Linked DNA regions of Schizosaccharomyces pombe. The gene in region 3 interacts genetically with the main gene of each other region. Each region holds a gene or a part of one and is shown on either strand. Other genes may lie near its edges.

The links.
Region 1: mutations in pmk1 (region 3) and amo1 together harm fitness less than expected from each alone (positive genetic interaction), as found in Schizosaccharomyces pombe (one large-scale study listed by BioGRID).
Region 2: mutations in pmk1 (region 3) and maa1 together harm fitness more than expected from each alone (negative genetic interaction), as found in Schizosaccharomyces pombe (one large-scale study listed by BioGRID).

What each region holds. Positions count from the first base shown.
Region 1 is NC_003423.3:3,027,865-3,032,055, forward strand, and holds amo1 (nuclear rim protein Amo1), read right to left. Parts: upstream 2,362-4,191; 5' UTR 2,329-2,361; coding exon 1,074-2,328; exon of another isoform or gene 1,014-1,073; coding exon 841-1,013; 3' UTR 821-840; downstream 1-820. Other genes in the region: met3 (cystathionine gamma-synthase), read right to left, coding at 1-409; SPOM_SPBC15D4.11C (Mam33 family protein), read right to left, coding at 2,507-2,857, 2,896-3,049, 3,191-3,477; protein mug98, read right to left, coding at 3,886-4,191. UniProt on the Schizosaccharomyces pombe protein: Involved in the cell polarity process where it is required for the correct termination of microtubule growth at the cell ends during interphase.
Region 2 is NC_003423.3:1,198,682-1,203,957, forward strand, and holds maa1 (aspartate aminotransferase Maa1), read left to right. Parts: upstream 1-1,877; 5' UTR 1,878-1,979; coding exon 1,980-3,293; 3' UTR 3,294-4,456; downstream 4,457-5,276. Other genes in the region: 19S proteasome base subcomplex ATPase subunit Rpt2, read right to left, coding at 1-560, 696-698; histidine-containing response regulator phosphotransferase Mpr1, read left to right, coding at 5,076-5,276.
Region 3 is NC_003423.3:728,502-733,778, forward strand, and holds pmk1 (MAP kinase Pmk1), read left to right. Parts: upstream 1-2,314; 5' UTR 2,315-2,358; coding exon 2,359-2,424; exon of another isoform or gene 2,425-2,524; coding exon 2,525-2,704; intron 2,705-2,977; coding exon 2,978-3,049; intron 3,050-3,131; coding exon 3,132-4,082; 3' UTR 4,083-4,451; downstream 4,452-5,277. Other genes in the region: serine/threonine protein kinase Vps15, read left to right, coding at 1-2,145; orm1 (ORMDL family protein), read right to left, coding at 5,174-5,277. UniProt on the Schizosaccharomyces pombe protein: Regulates cell integrity and functions coordinately with the protein kinase C pathway (pck1 and pck2). Involved the regulation of wall architecture, cell shape, cytokinesis in exponential and stationary phase, and metabolism of ions.

The DNA.
Region 1 (4,191 bases), 2.3 Mb from region 3:
TATATTTGCGATTTCGGTCAATTGAATCAAGATGTTTTCGCAGTCCCTTCGTGGCATCATAAATAATGACTTCCGCAGAGTCTATAGGTCCTTTACTTTCAAGAAAAGCTGCACTTTGCTTAGCAACGGATAATGAAGGATACAAAAACATATCGTAGTCCTTTAGCTTCAAAATCTCAATCTCTGGAAATTTCTTTATGATGCTAATGCAATCCTTGACGTGTGCGCTTATAAAGAACCTCGGATATCCTGACTTCATTTTAGTAGTTACATTAGGATCTCCCTCTTCATATCCAACATTGGATTTCCATGTAGGTAAAGTAACTGAAATGGCATGTTCAGTATCAGCTGGAATTGATGAACCGACCTCTGTAGGTGGATTGACTAGGTAAGAAATATTTGCAGACATTTAAAGAATTAAATAAAATTGAGATTTATATATAAATAGCCATAAACAAAAGTTTTGGGTTCTTGCAAAAATCTGGAGTGAATTGTGTGTGGAATTGGGACAACCATCTCTTTAGACCCAATAGGCGTGCAGGACAGTTCTGTCCTCTATATCAAATCAGCTATCAGTTTGATTCATGAATTAATAACAAAAAATAGTACTGTTTTCTTTCTAGAATTTTACAATGATACATAAATCGAGTTAGGTACAACTTTATCAGATAGCCGTGTAGGAAAGCATCACACTTTGTCTAATACTCGTAATTGAAATTACATATATATATATATATATATATTTACAACCTAATATCGAATATGAAATTTGAACAAAGTTTAATACTAATCAAAAATCCCCGAAAAAACTTACGTTGAATAACTATTTTAATAAAATAATTAACAAAATTGTGGTGGAGGGGCTGTTGTTGGAACTTTTCCGGGAATGAAATCTTGAGCTTCAAATTGCTGAATCATTTCTGGGGGAAATGCGAGATTTTGATTGGAATTACTCATTTCTACTTGATCATCCAAAGTTTGGATAGAAGAAGCACCTATTGGATTAATCGGACCTGTCGATGATCGTTAGTCATATTCGTATACTAGCAAGGATACAAAGTAAAAAAACTTACCGTCAATTGTGTTAGAAGATCCAAACATAGGAGTTTGGATTATATTTTTGTTAGCAGGATTATCGTTAGAAAATCCTGAAGCGGATATTTTAGAGGTTACATTGGCAAATGGAGATTCAAAAGTAGTATTAGGCGGAACAAAAGGGCCTTGAGGTTGTTGCATAAAAGTAGCAGGGGGCTGAACAGTAAAACCATTTGGGTTCACTGGTTGTGTTAAAGATGTATGACCAAAAACTGGTTGTGAATTATTAGGAAGCGAGAATTGAGTATTCAAATTTTGAAAAGCTGATTGCTGAGGCTGATTCTGTATTCCAAAACCGCTGGCAACAGTAGGACCGAAAATCGAACTTGGATCATTCACATTTTGACTTTGTGAAAACCCAGAAGCAACTTGTGAAAACGAGGAGAATGATGAGTTAGGAATCCCTTGTCCGGAATTAACAAATGACGAATTTGGCTGAGATATTCCCCCAAATGCTGATGGCCCTGAGGTTGCCGAACCAAAACTAGACGAACCAAAAGAAGATGGGTTGTTTTGGACTGGATTACTTCCCGTAAATGAATTTGAGGATGTATTTTGAGAAAATGGAGACGCATTTAATTGCGATGTAAATGCAGAAGTCGTAGGGGCGCCAAAAATATCGTTTGCTTGCTGATTGTTATTGAAAGAATTATTGTTATTTGAAAAAGAATTGAAAGGACTATTTTGAGTTGGCTTGTTGAACTGATTAGACGTAACCGTTGAATTGCTAGTAGACTTATCAAAAATTGACTTATAATTTGTCTTTCCGACGAGTTTATTTCTCATTTCATCGAAAGCAGCAGCAGGCGACCGTTTAACGGCTGCTGCTTTTGCTTCTACATCATCCATCAACTGTTTCTGGCGTTGTTCATATGCTTGCATATTGTTTGTCGCTTTAGCCTGATATGCCCACCACCGCAATTCTTCAGGCGAAACATCGCCTTCATAAATTGATGGTAGATTCTCAACTACTGAATAACCTGTAAAAGGCCATTGTGGTTTTGCGTTTTTAAGATCGTCGTTAATATCCTTCATTCTTCTATTGGGAAGCAAATTATCTAAATCGCTTCTCTTCAAACGCCTTTGTACCCATATTGGAGGTCGTCCATTCTCTGGACGAAAGACATTAACCTTAGAAAATGCATTTTGTCCATTAGAAGGTACCGTATGTTGATTTTTACAATTGGTACCATACCTGCACCGATTTTGAAGGAAATACTTACAAACGACCATGTTGTTGAATAGTTGAAATGATATGCTAAAGATAAGTATAAAAATGTATCATAATCATATGTTATACTCCAAATTTTCTTATTTTTAGAGTGGGCGTCCCATTTGGAATCGTAGTGTGGTGTAGCGTTATTGCTCCAATTAATCATAAAGTAAAGGAATTCAAAGAACAATTATACCATCATTGGGAGTCTGATTTTTTAGTTGTTGATGATTCAGAAGGTAAAATAAATCCAATAATATTATGAATCCAATGCTTATAGGAGACATTTTCTTTTCGCCAACTGCGAGATATTAGCGCCTTCATGAATTTTACTGTAATTCCTTGTTCATCCAAGAATTCAAGTAAACTTGACTTGATAGAAGCTGGAACGTGCTTTGTTTTTCTGCCAGTGTACTTCTGTGATTTTTGTAAAATTAACCTCAAGTCAGATGAGAACGCTTGAGAGTTTTGAGGTGATTGAAAAGAAATGCTATCAAAATGAAGCATGCCCTTACAAAGTATTAAAGCACACAAAATTGTGCCATGGTTCTATAATTGTAAGTTATAATAACATGTTAAGATCTTACGTTAGTGAGTTGGACATAAGCAGGAATTGAATGCTGAAAGAACACTAGTTCATCAGATGTTTCGTTACCATTTTCATTTTCAGCACTATGCGTTATCGGCTTTGTTTGGACGTAACTTTTACGAGAGCTATATACGGGAACAGTAACGCGTATTCTAGCTACGTTAGTACTATTATATCGAAAGAAATTTAAAGGCTCTGCTGAAAGCATAATCTTAAACGTTGTATATTAGCCAACGCATAGACATGAAATCACATCGTTGAATTCAACAAACAATTGAGGAAAAATAGCTTACCTTTCCTTTGCCGTTTCTTTTAAAGCTGAAATGTAGTTAAGCGAAGGATCTTCATGGATTATAAAAGAATGAAGAGCCTTTTCGTATCCTTTTTTAGGTAATGTCTCATCAAGAACCTGTTTCACGTAACCCAGTTCAGAATCTAATTTCAACGCTAGTTGCTCCGTTAGGATACCACTTGTAAATTTTCGTTTACTACGAAACATATCAAAGTAAGAAAACCTCCTTTCGCAATTAAATAAAGGATATTTAAAGTTTCGTGCTGTAGAGATCGCTTTTCTGAGCATTTTGAAGTGCAATAAGCTGAAGAATAGAATTGTTACAAGCCGTCCAACAAAGATTTGCTTCTTCAATGGATTGATGAATTGTACAGATTATAAATATTTAATGCAATGGGGCATATGACAATAAGCACTTTAACTGAATTTGCTTCCTTATGAGAAGTACGCAAAGCAGTGACTTTAAAGTAATACAGCGGTTTTCACTAAAGTGCTTGTATACCATAGCAATGGATGAAGAAAATAATTAATGGAAAAATCATTATTGTAGACATCTGATTAAAGAAAAAAATAAAGAAATTAAGACTATGAAATTCTTTTTCCTGGTTTTTTAACGGCGTCGATTATAACCATAATGATGAAGATGCGGTTTTTGAATGAAATTGAAAAAATTGGCACAAAATTTTGAAAACATGACTAATAATAAACGTGATGGTAATTTCCGTTTGGACCATGCTGCATATAATACGGATTCGCATACCACAAACCATTCTCACGTTTGGTAAACGGACGATAAAACGCAGAATATGAATGGTTTATTTTAGCTTCAACATTGTATAGAGGGGGAAACTGGCATGTTTCTTTACGATTATAATGATTTCTACTTTTTCGGTGATTAATTTGTGGAATCCAAGTTTTAGCTCCGGGGTTCATGCGAGAAGTATTTGCTCGAACTTTCAAAGGAAGTTCTTTTCGGAGGTATTCTTCTCGGGCTTTAAGCGC
Region 2 (5,276 bases), 470 kb from region 3:
TCTGTAGGTGCTTTGTCGAGTTTCATAACATTAATCATTGGATCGGTATCATCAAGAAGTAAGCCTACTATACTCATGGCTTTGTGATGGAGAAGTACACTGCAACCAGGCTCTAACATGTCTTTATCGACAAATGACATGATGGAAACATAGTACTCTGGTCCAGCTGTGGAAACGATGGCATGATCGTCGTCTATAATTTCCTCTAAAGTTCCTACAGACATTGGAGTACCACGAATTTCATCTACACGATTGCGTTCTTCCTGAGTTCGTTCATCCTGTGGCTTAAGACGTTCCTGGTTTTGCACATACTCTTCTTCCATAAGCAAATGATCGTGGATTCTTTGCATTTTTAACAACCTTAAACGACAACGAGTCGTTGGGATAACAGTAGGTAGTTTTGCCGATGCATCAGGACCACTTTGAGCCTTCTTCTTACGACGACCAGTTCGAGTGGGAACTGGAGGTTCGTATTTGGGCTTATCTTTCTTTTGGTCTTTTTTATTGTCGCCGTTGGCACCATCGCCGAAATTAGAAAAATTCCCAGATTGTGCTTGTCCCTATAGGAGAGTTAGGATTAAATATTAAAACATGAAAAGAATGTGATAGAGTGAAAACAAGACTATTCAGCGATAGATGAAAAAATTACATTTAATTCAGTCTTGTTTTCAGCCTCAAAATACTCAAATACTTACCATTTTTTGGATCGATACTCTCAGTGAAAGTGATCTGGTATTGGTAATATCTAGCTTCACTCGTTTTCCACCACGACACTATGCAAGCAACCGGTGGCTCAAGGCACTCTAACATATTGCGTAACATAGTATTGCGATATTGTAATTTTTGAATAGTGTATGGTAAAAACACATCCTAATTTTCTTGAGTTGTTTACATTTCGAACACGAAAATGTATCTACTGTTACCAACGCGTGAATCAACCATTCCATTTCAAGAGACCTCACTTTAAGTAAATTTTCCTCAATATAAAGTGTTGTAGAAGTAATAATGGTTTAAAAAAGGTTAAACAATTGCCATCGATTTTTATTAAAAGGAGTACGGATCTCTTTTCGTGCATTCGTCGTGTTTCTTGTTAGAACATAGACTTTGCTAAAGTGATTTAACCTTGCATCTATCTTTTACTTAGGAATCATTGCTAAAGAATATTTATCCCAATTCAAACAACACACATTCCTCTCAAAATTACATAGCATAAAATTATATAAGCTATAAAGTATTTTACTAGGTGTCTACGGCCATACCTAGGCGAAAACACCAGTTCCCGTCCGATCACTGCAGTTAAGCGTCTGAGGGCCTCGTTAGTACTATGGTTGGAGACAACATGGGAATCCGGGGTGCTGTAGGCTTCATTTCGTTTTTTTTCTTAATAAAAGTCCTCCATATGAATAGAATTATTGTTCTATAACTTACTTCTGCAACCTTTTACAGCAACAACAGTGAAAGCTATAGAAGCAGCTACTAAAGACAGTCTGATGACTTAAACAGTGTTCGAAGGTCTAAATTGACTTATTCAAGTTATGATTATTGAATGACTTCTTGTTATTGAAAAATATTTTCTACAAGTCTAACAGCTATTTTACAATTTTTATTGTTGTTAATGTTAATTTATTAACTACCTTAATTACTTACGATAAATATTGGTAATTAACGAGTTACTGTTTACTAGTTGCTAAACTACGTTGCGATTACAAAACTATAGCTTTCGCTATGCTACTTTAATGTTTTTTCGGAACAGCTCTACAAGTGAACGATAACGAAAGAAACAATAAACGTCGTTATCTAATTTTGACATCTTACAGCTTCGGATTATGTTATCGATCGGTAAGCAGATACATTGAACCACGTGGTTTTCTCATGATAAGAACGTATATATATTAGCAGGATTCGATTGATTGCGAGCCTGTGAAGAGCCTTTAACCAATCTCCCAGAAATAACTTTGGGAAGAATATTGATTTCGACGATGTTGGCCAGGAATTTGCGTTGTTTGCATCCAAATACATTTGCATCGTTAAAAACCAACGTTTCCTACCATGGAGTAAAATGCTTGGCAAGTCAGAGCAAGCGTGGATTCAAGGTTTGGGCAGATGTACCTATGGGACCACCGGATCCCATCTTTGGTATTACAGAGGCCTATAAAAAGGATGGAGATGTTAAGAAAATGAACTTGGGTGCTGGTACATATCGTGATGATGCCGGAAAGCCTTATGTTCTGCCCAGTGTTCGTCAGGCAGAAACTGAGCTGTTGAGTCAGAAACTCGACAAAGAATATGCACCCATCACAGGAATTCCCAGTTTCCGTGTGCAAGCAACAAAATTGGCTTATGGCGATGTTTACGAGTCTATAAAGGATAGGCTGGTTTCTGCTCAATCCATTAGTGGTACCGGTGCCTTGTGTATAGCAGCTAATTTCCTTGCTTCATTTTATCCATCAAAGACTATTTACGTATCTGACCCTACTTGGGGAAATCACAAGAATGTATTTTCTCGAGCTGGCTTGACCGTTAAGTCCTACAAGTATTATGATCCTGCTACTCGTGGGTTGGACATTAAAGGCATGTTGTCCGATTTAACTTCAGCTCCTGATGGCTCTATTATATTATTGCATGCTTGTGCTCACAATCCAACTGGTGTAGATCCTACGAAAGCTCAGTGGGATGATATCCTCAAAACAATGCAAAAGAAAAACCATTTTGCTCTTTTAGACATGGCTTACCAAGGATTTGCCAGTGGTGATTTTGCTCGTGATGCTTATGCCACTCGTCTGTTCGCCTCCAGCAATGTCCCCATGTTACTCTGCCAATCCTTTGCTAAAAACATGGGTCTATATGGTGAACGTGCTGGCTGCTTTAGCATTTTAGCCAACGATGCTGAGGAAGCCGCTCGTATCGAAAGCCAAACTAAGATTCTCATTCGTGCTTTGTATTCCAACCCTCCCGTCAATGGGGCCAGAATTGCCAACCATATATTGAGCAACCCTGCACTTCGTGAACAGTGGGCTGGTGAAGTTGTAGGCATGTCCGAACGTCTTAAGAGTATGCGTAAGGCTCTTCGCAACATCCTTGAAAAGGACCTTAAGAATAAACACAGCTGGAAGCATATCACTGACCAAATTGGTATGTTTTGTTATACTGGTTTAAATCCCCAGCAAGTTGATGTTTTGGCTAAACAGTATCACATTTACCTCACTAAGAATGGTCGTATTAGCATCTCCGGTCTCAACACTTCCAATGTAAGATACTTTGCCGAAGCTATCAATGCCGTTACTTCGAATTAGTCGGTGGTGAAATTGAAGTGAAAAGATTTTGGTTTATTATATAGACAGATGGATTTTTGATTGATTCTTTGTTCTGAATCTTTTTTGTTCTTCTTTCTGTTTTTATTTTATTATACATACATATAGACAGACTCAAACACACATATACATATACATATATTTGTATACATTTAATTTTTTTTCCCTTTTCATTTCTCCGAAACCATGAGAAGACGTATTTAGTAACCTAATTGTCTCGGCTTATTTTTTTTTCCTTATACTTTCGCTTTGAGGTGAATAACTACAGTTTTGCTTCCAAATAGATGGCATGGTCTGTTTTTAAATGAATGGATTTTGGATCTAAAAATTGACTAAATATTGATTCGTTTTCGAAATAGTATGCTTTTCGTTTGTCTATCTTCATTTATTTCCATACTTTGTTTCTGTAGATGTTTGTCTAGTAGTTCACTTACTTCATACTTTAGATTGCCTCTAGTTAACCCAAAATTTGGCACATTTTACTATCCTCTCTCATATACATATTAAATCCCACTTTTTCGTTGGAAAACTATCAATTATCTTTCCCATTGCATTTGTCATATGTTGGGATTTCCCAAGTTCATCAAACTTCTGAGATGTACGAAATAAGTGAGGTAGGAATGAAATTTGTGCAAAGCTTTTAATTATTTCTAAAAATAGGAGAATATCGCTGGAAATTGGCACCTTTCCAATGACTAGGATAGGCCCTATGTAGTGATATCGAAATAAATATCTGCAAAAAGAGTATCATTCTTCCCTCCCAATGTGCAATGCTACAGCCATCAGGAATTGCTGCGCTTATTAGGAAATGGCCGAAAATGCCAAAGATGGTGGGAAACTGTTCTTCCATCTCCAGTTCGTCTTTTTTTTCTACACTGACTGATATGGAGGAATCATTGAAATTCGGGGTATAGTGAGACGTAGCGTCATTATATTAATATACTTTATCGTTTTGGGTGGTTGTGTATCGGTACATTTGACTGCTTTATTACGTTGCATGGCGTCACTCCCAAGTGTGAGTTTTGCAAACAATTCTTTCGCGGCATTTACCTACTTTCCGTCTCCCATTTACTACATTAGAATATCTAAAAATCAGACATAAGCACAGGCAAAACCATAGTCTCTACTCTCTGCCTTACCCTTGTTGCATTTGAACTTAATTATAGAGAGAGCACTTAACAATCTTGTGAGGATTGGTTTTCTGTCTTTTGAATTGATACGAAAACAATAATATCGCCTTTTTAGTAGAGCTTGATAATTTTAGAACTTAGCAGAAGCTGAAGGCAAGTTTGTGTGGCGTCTAAAACTTGGCATCAAAGTTTCGAACACGCAAAAAAAGCTCCAAAACCGTATTGACTCTTTTCCATTAGAATCGTTGTTGAAGGAGATTTATCCACAAATCCTATTTAGTATTTGTGGGTTGTGTGGTAAAGCCATTTTCTTCTTTTGGTAATAGCCCTTGTACTGTACTACAGGTTAGTGAAACTGTTGATTATTTCATTTTGCTGGCATACCACACATTATTTTTATAATTTGTTTGTGTTGTCGACGCCTCTTTCAATAACTCACATTTCCTCGCTTTAATTTCAAATCGTTGTTAAAAAAGGAAAGTCTTAAATCTGATACAATATTCTGTATCGATTGCTACATTTTACTGTTTGCAAAGTAATACTGCTGATAAAATTTAGCTGAGCTTCTCCATTCGCTCTTACTTTAAACCCTTTTCTTTTTTTTTTGGATTTTCTTTTAATTATTTTCTAAAAAATGAGTGTATATCGTGATAACATGTATATGAAATACGACCGAAACTTCGAAAATCGTGTCGCCCGAAGAAATGGACAGGCGCGTAACGCTAGTCTTGCTAAGACTCTTCACGATTCTGGCATAGCTGAACGTGCACGCTCTCCTTCAGGGTCAGCGATCCCCCATGCTTATCGGGTTATGAATGGTTCTGGAGCGAATGAC
Region 3 (5,277 bases):
ATCAAAGTTGATATTAATAGGGAGTCTAATTCTGATAATGGAGAGACCATTACTGGTACTCATGATGTATACAGACAAACGGACAATCCTGAAATTAAACTACCTTCAGACACTGCTAGCTCCAAGGTTGACACACACAATCCCACAGTCACTCAACCAACGGACGATACCGGTGGGTTGAATTCTTATAATACTGAGAACCCCTTACTCACAAATAATACTTTGGAGCCTTCCTCTGTAGAAGCAATAGTCTCTTCTAAAGATTCTGACAAACATGCTAAAGAATCGAAGGGGAAAAGCCTCGCACCGTTGATCTCTTCTAGGGTTTCAACGAATGATACAACTAATGTTGCCGGTATTCGAAGCCAAAGATCATTTACTACTCATATCGATTTGAAAAAGCTTACCACGAGGCAAAATGGCGCAAAAAAATCATCGTATACTGGAACTAATCCATGCGTCTTAAATTATTTAAATAAAATTTATGCAGAAGCAGCGGCTTCGACACTTAACGTTGGTGCTGCTGTTTCACCAAGCTGGGCTTCTAATATACCTTTGCGTCGTAGAACAAAGGTGTCTGCGAAGGCTGCGAATAAAATAGTTCAGACTCATGAATGGCATCCAGAAGGATCACGAGTTGCTCAGATATATTTAGGAAGCCTTCTTGATGGAGGTACGAAGAAAGTTTTGGTTAGTCCAGATTCATCTTTTTTCGTTACCTTGGGATCTGACGGTGTTGTAAGAGCATGGCAATTAGTTGAAAGTGTTCGTCATATTTCAACTATGAGATGTGAATGCCGATTAAGTTATGGGCATACGCGACGTAATGGCGAGAGGAATAGATTTTCTGTGGTCAATGGATGCTTTCTAGGTAATACATACGCTTTTGCTTCTGTTACTCAAGATGGCTCTGTGGAAGTTCACAGACTTGACGTTAACAATCAGCGGCATACTCTAATTTCGGCTGGTCGTATTCCCAATTTGGATTTCAGTGATTCTGTAACCTCCATGGAAGCTTCTACATTTCACGACGGGAGTATCCGTCTAGTCGTTGTTACAAAATGGTCACGCATCGTATACTTAGACGTGGGAATGATGAGGGTTTTGTCATCAGACCAATTACCATTACAGTGTGGGTCAGCTACTAGTGTAGTAGTTTCTGAGGGTTGTAATTGGGCTTTAATTGGGACTACCAAAGGATGGCTCTTACTTTGGGACCTCCGCTTTGGGACATTATCATGCTCTTGGCATATGCCAGCCAGGATTGATCAGATGCATCTTCTTTTAGATGTTACCAAAAAACGTAGCAACGTTAATGAGTATACTTCCGGAAATAACAATAGTCCCGTTACCAAGGTTCCAGGTAGCTCAAGTACAAGTTCAAGTAGTACTCAGCCAATTAACTCTACTATTCCCATCAATCCTTTAGAAAATCACGGAATGTTAAACTCGTTTGGAAGCACTACAGTCAGTATCAGTTTTAGCGTCCTTACCAACTTGGATAATAAAGAAGTTAATCTTGAAGATGCAGTTCCAGCGAGTCACAGATCCGCTTCAGGCATAGTAAATTTTGACGTTGAAAAAGGGAAAACCGAAGAGGTTTTCTTAGAAAACTGGAATTCTTCACTCACCAGTCCGATTCCGGTATCTGTTGGAATTGATGCTTTTAATGAAAAAAAAAAGTTTGATATAGATTCTGGCAATGACATGGGATTAAGAGATTTGAATACCAAATTCGACTCTCCTTGGCCTTGTATATCTAGTCCAATCTATAGGTACAGAGGTCCGTCTGCAGGTTCTGTCGAACGAGAGCCACTTTTTCTCATTGCCGCTTCTGGAAGCCCTCATGCGTTTATTTGGAATCCCCACAATGTCTCTGCTAGTTCGTCGGTGACCAACGACTCCGAGAGTTCAAAACTATCTTTAATACATAACAAACCTCCTATCTACCAAAAAGTCTCTGAACAACAGAATGTACGCCCAAAGTCTTCGGGAGTGTCAAGGCCTCTTCTATTCCTTCAACAGCAAAAGAATCTACCTAGCGAAAATCGTCTGCACCCCATCGTTGACATGGCCTTCTTGTACCAACCGTACGCTATAGTGCTTATTGTTGACGCTTTTGGTAGTCTTGAACTCTGGACCTAGTTTCTTTTAGTATTCCTCATATATTTATTAGATTTGTATGCATATTCTTTAATACCATAAATTCCATCTGATAGTCTTCAAATCTAACCGACTTGCATTCAAATAGTGAAATATAAGGCATCGTTAATCACTACAAGTGATGTACTGTAGTTTTTTCCACATCCCTTTTGCCAAACAGCTAAAAATTCAAGTTGCATGCTATAAGTCGCAAGGATGGACCGTCGACATCGTGTTTACCGTGTGTTTAACCAGGAGATGTATGTCGAGCCTAATTTTAAGGTATGAGATATTTGGGTAACTGCTGCATTTGCAAAACATTTTGTTTACTTGACAGAAAATCGCATCTGCTTGAACTTTTAGGAAAACTAACATAGTTTAGGTAGTGAAGGAGTTGGGTCAAGGCGCTTACGGCATTGTTTGTGCAGCAAGAAACGTGGCTAGCAAAGATCAAGAGGCTGTAGCCATAAAAAAAATTACGAATGTGTTTTCTAAATCCATTCTTACAAAAAGAGCTTTGAGAGAGATAAAACTGCTGATTCATTTTCGTAATCATCGTAACGTAAGTCTTTTATGCAAAAACGGCTTCCTGTGATTGATTACTCATCATCACCGGGATGTATTAACGAGGTGCATTTTGATGAAAATGCAAATTTTTATACAATGAAAAGTCTTCTATGAGAAATGAGTTCTAATCATCCTTGAAAAGTATTTCCTTTATAAATCTTGATATAATGTTTGGAATTCGGTTGATTAAAAAATTTGAACTGCTCATTGTCTTACATTTGCATAGTGATGTCTTTCCTATTTTTTATAAACTTTACTAACATGGTAGATTACTTGCATTTACGATCTCGACATTATAAATCCATACAATTTTAATGAAGTTTACATTTACGAAGAGTTGGTATGTTACGCGATGATCCACATATGGTGTCTGTTTTAGTCACGGAAATATTTGTATAATTACTTACTAACTATTATAATAGATGGAGGCCGATTTGAATGCTATTATTAAATCCGGTCAGCCATTAACGGATGCGCATTTTCAATCATTCATTTACCAGATACTTTGTGGTTTAAAGTATATTCATTCTGCCAACGTTATTCATCGTGACTTAAAGCCAGGTAATCTTTTAGTTAACGCTGATTGTGAGCTGAAAATTTGCGATTTTGGCCTCGCTCGCGGATGTTCTGAAAATCCAGAAGAAAATCCTGGTTTTATGACGGAGTATGTGGCAACGCGCTGGTACAGAGCTCCGGAAATTATGCTTTCGTTCAGCAGCTATCATAAAGGTATTGATGTTTGGAGTGTTGGTTGCATTTTGGCAGAGCTATTAGGTGGAACCCCTTTGTTTAAGGGAAAAGATTTTGTTCATCAGTTAAATTTAATTTTGCATCAACTTGGCACACCTGATGAGGAAACCCTGTCTCATATAAGCAGTTCCCGTGCACAGGAGTATGTTCGAAGCTTGCCAAAGCAAAGACCTATTCCTTTTGAAACCAATTTTCCTAAAGCCAATCCTTTGGCTCTTGACCTGCTTGCTAAGCTCTTGGCTTTCGACCCCAACAGACGTATTTCGGTTGACGATGCTTTAGAACATCCCTATTTAGCTGTTTGGCATGATCCCTCTGACGAACCTGTGTGTGATTCCGTCTTTGATTTCAGCTTTGAATACATTGAGGATGCAAATGAGTTACGCCGTGTCATTTTAGATGAAGTTTTAAACTTCCGTCAGAAAGTCCGACGCCGCTCTCATCCAACAAACCCAACAGTCAACATCCCGCAACCAGCCCAAACCGTTCCATCTAATGACAATGGTTCTTTCAATGTTAGTAGCTCTTCATCCTCTCAAACCTCTAACAAAAAGCGCCATGATCATTCTTATAATGAAACTGCTGCTATAGACCATAAGTCTGATGATAATCGCCATAACTAATACATTGGCAGCAGCTGGTTTTATTGAGCCTTTTTACGGTAACATTTGCATACAAATCATTCATTGCGTTTTCTCATTTTTACATAAATTAGCTATTGCTATCTTTTGAGCTTTGCTGGCTACTGTCGAATCTCTGTTTGCTCGTTTAATTTCCATAAAAAATACTCATTTGCATTAGTCCTTCATTTACTGTTTTGCATATAATATTTGGCGATCTTTGTGCTCCCTTTTCTTGCACGCTTTATAGTCTCACAGCTTGAAACATTTTGTTATACATACATGCATGCATATACACCCGTACTACAACTAGAAAAATATATAAATAGAACAGCTAATTACTTAAAAATATTACTTTTACTAGTGAACGAGTATATCTGTGGTAGAGTAATTTCCTTTATTAGGGAACATCCCAATGAAATCACAAAACTAACTAACCAAGACAAAATAGATGAATAAATACATCAGTCATGAATTTGTATCCTGCAACAATTAAACAACATTCGTGCACAAGGATAGCTCTCTTCAAGTAGAAGCGTCTTATAATGAAATGCAAAGCGGTCGAATATGAAATTATGTGCATATTTTTATAAATCAGAAAAAATATGTAAGATGATATTCGAGACGCGAATGAAGTTTTACAATAGAAAGGGAAAGCCTTTACAAATACCTGCAAAAAAGGTCGTACAGATTCCGTTGTTTTTTGGGAAAGCAAATCATGATGCGCAAATCCTATATAAAAGGAACAGTTTTTTTTAGGAGAAAATTTTGGCAATTGCCGCTATGGCATCCATTACTAGCAATGAAATAAAGCAGAAGGCGGGCGACCTTGATTCCAGTAAAGGCTAACGGGAAAAATAAAAGGGAAAAACGACGTCACAAATAAGTGAACAAAAAGTCATTAATGGTTGGGTTTCTAAAGTACCGGGAAATAAATGATTAGTTTCATCTTTGACAAAATTAGTAACAAAGCTGCAATAGACTGTTTATATTTTTGAGAGTGAAGGAGTTTCAAGCGGAATAAAACAGCCTGCTCAAAGACAAAGATAGACACCATGATTATAAGGTGATGAATTCAATATGGCACAGTGATCCTAACGAGGAATACTGTCATTATCATCATCACGGAGGGAAAGTTTTTGAATACCAAAAATTCTCTTCCGGTGAACGGCAGGCAGTTTAGGGATTAAAACCATAA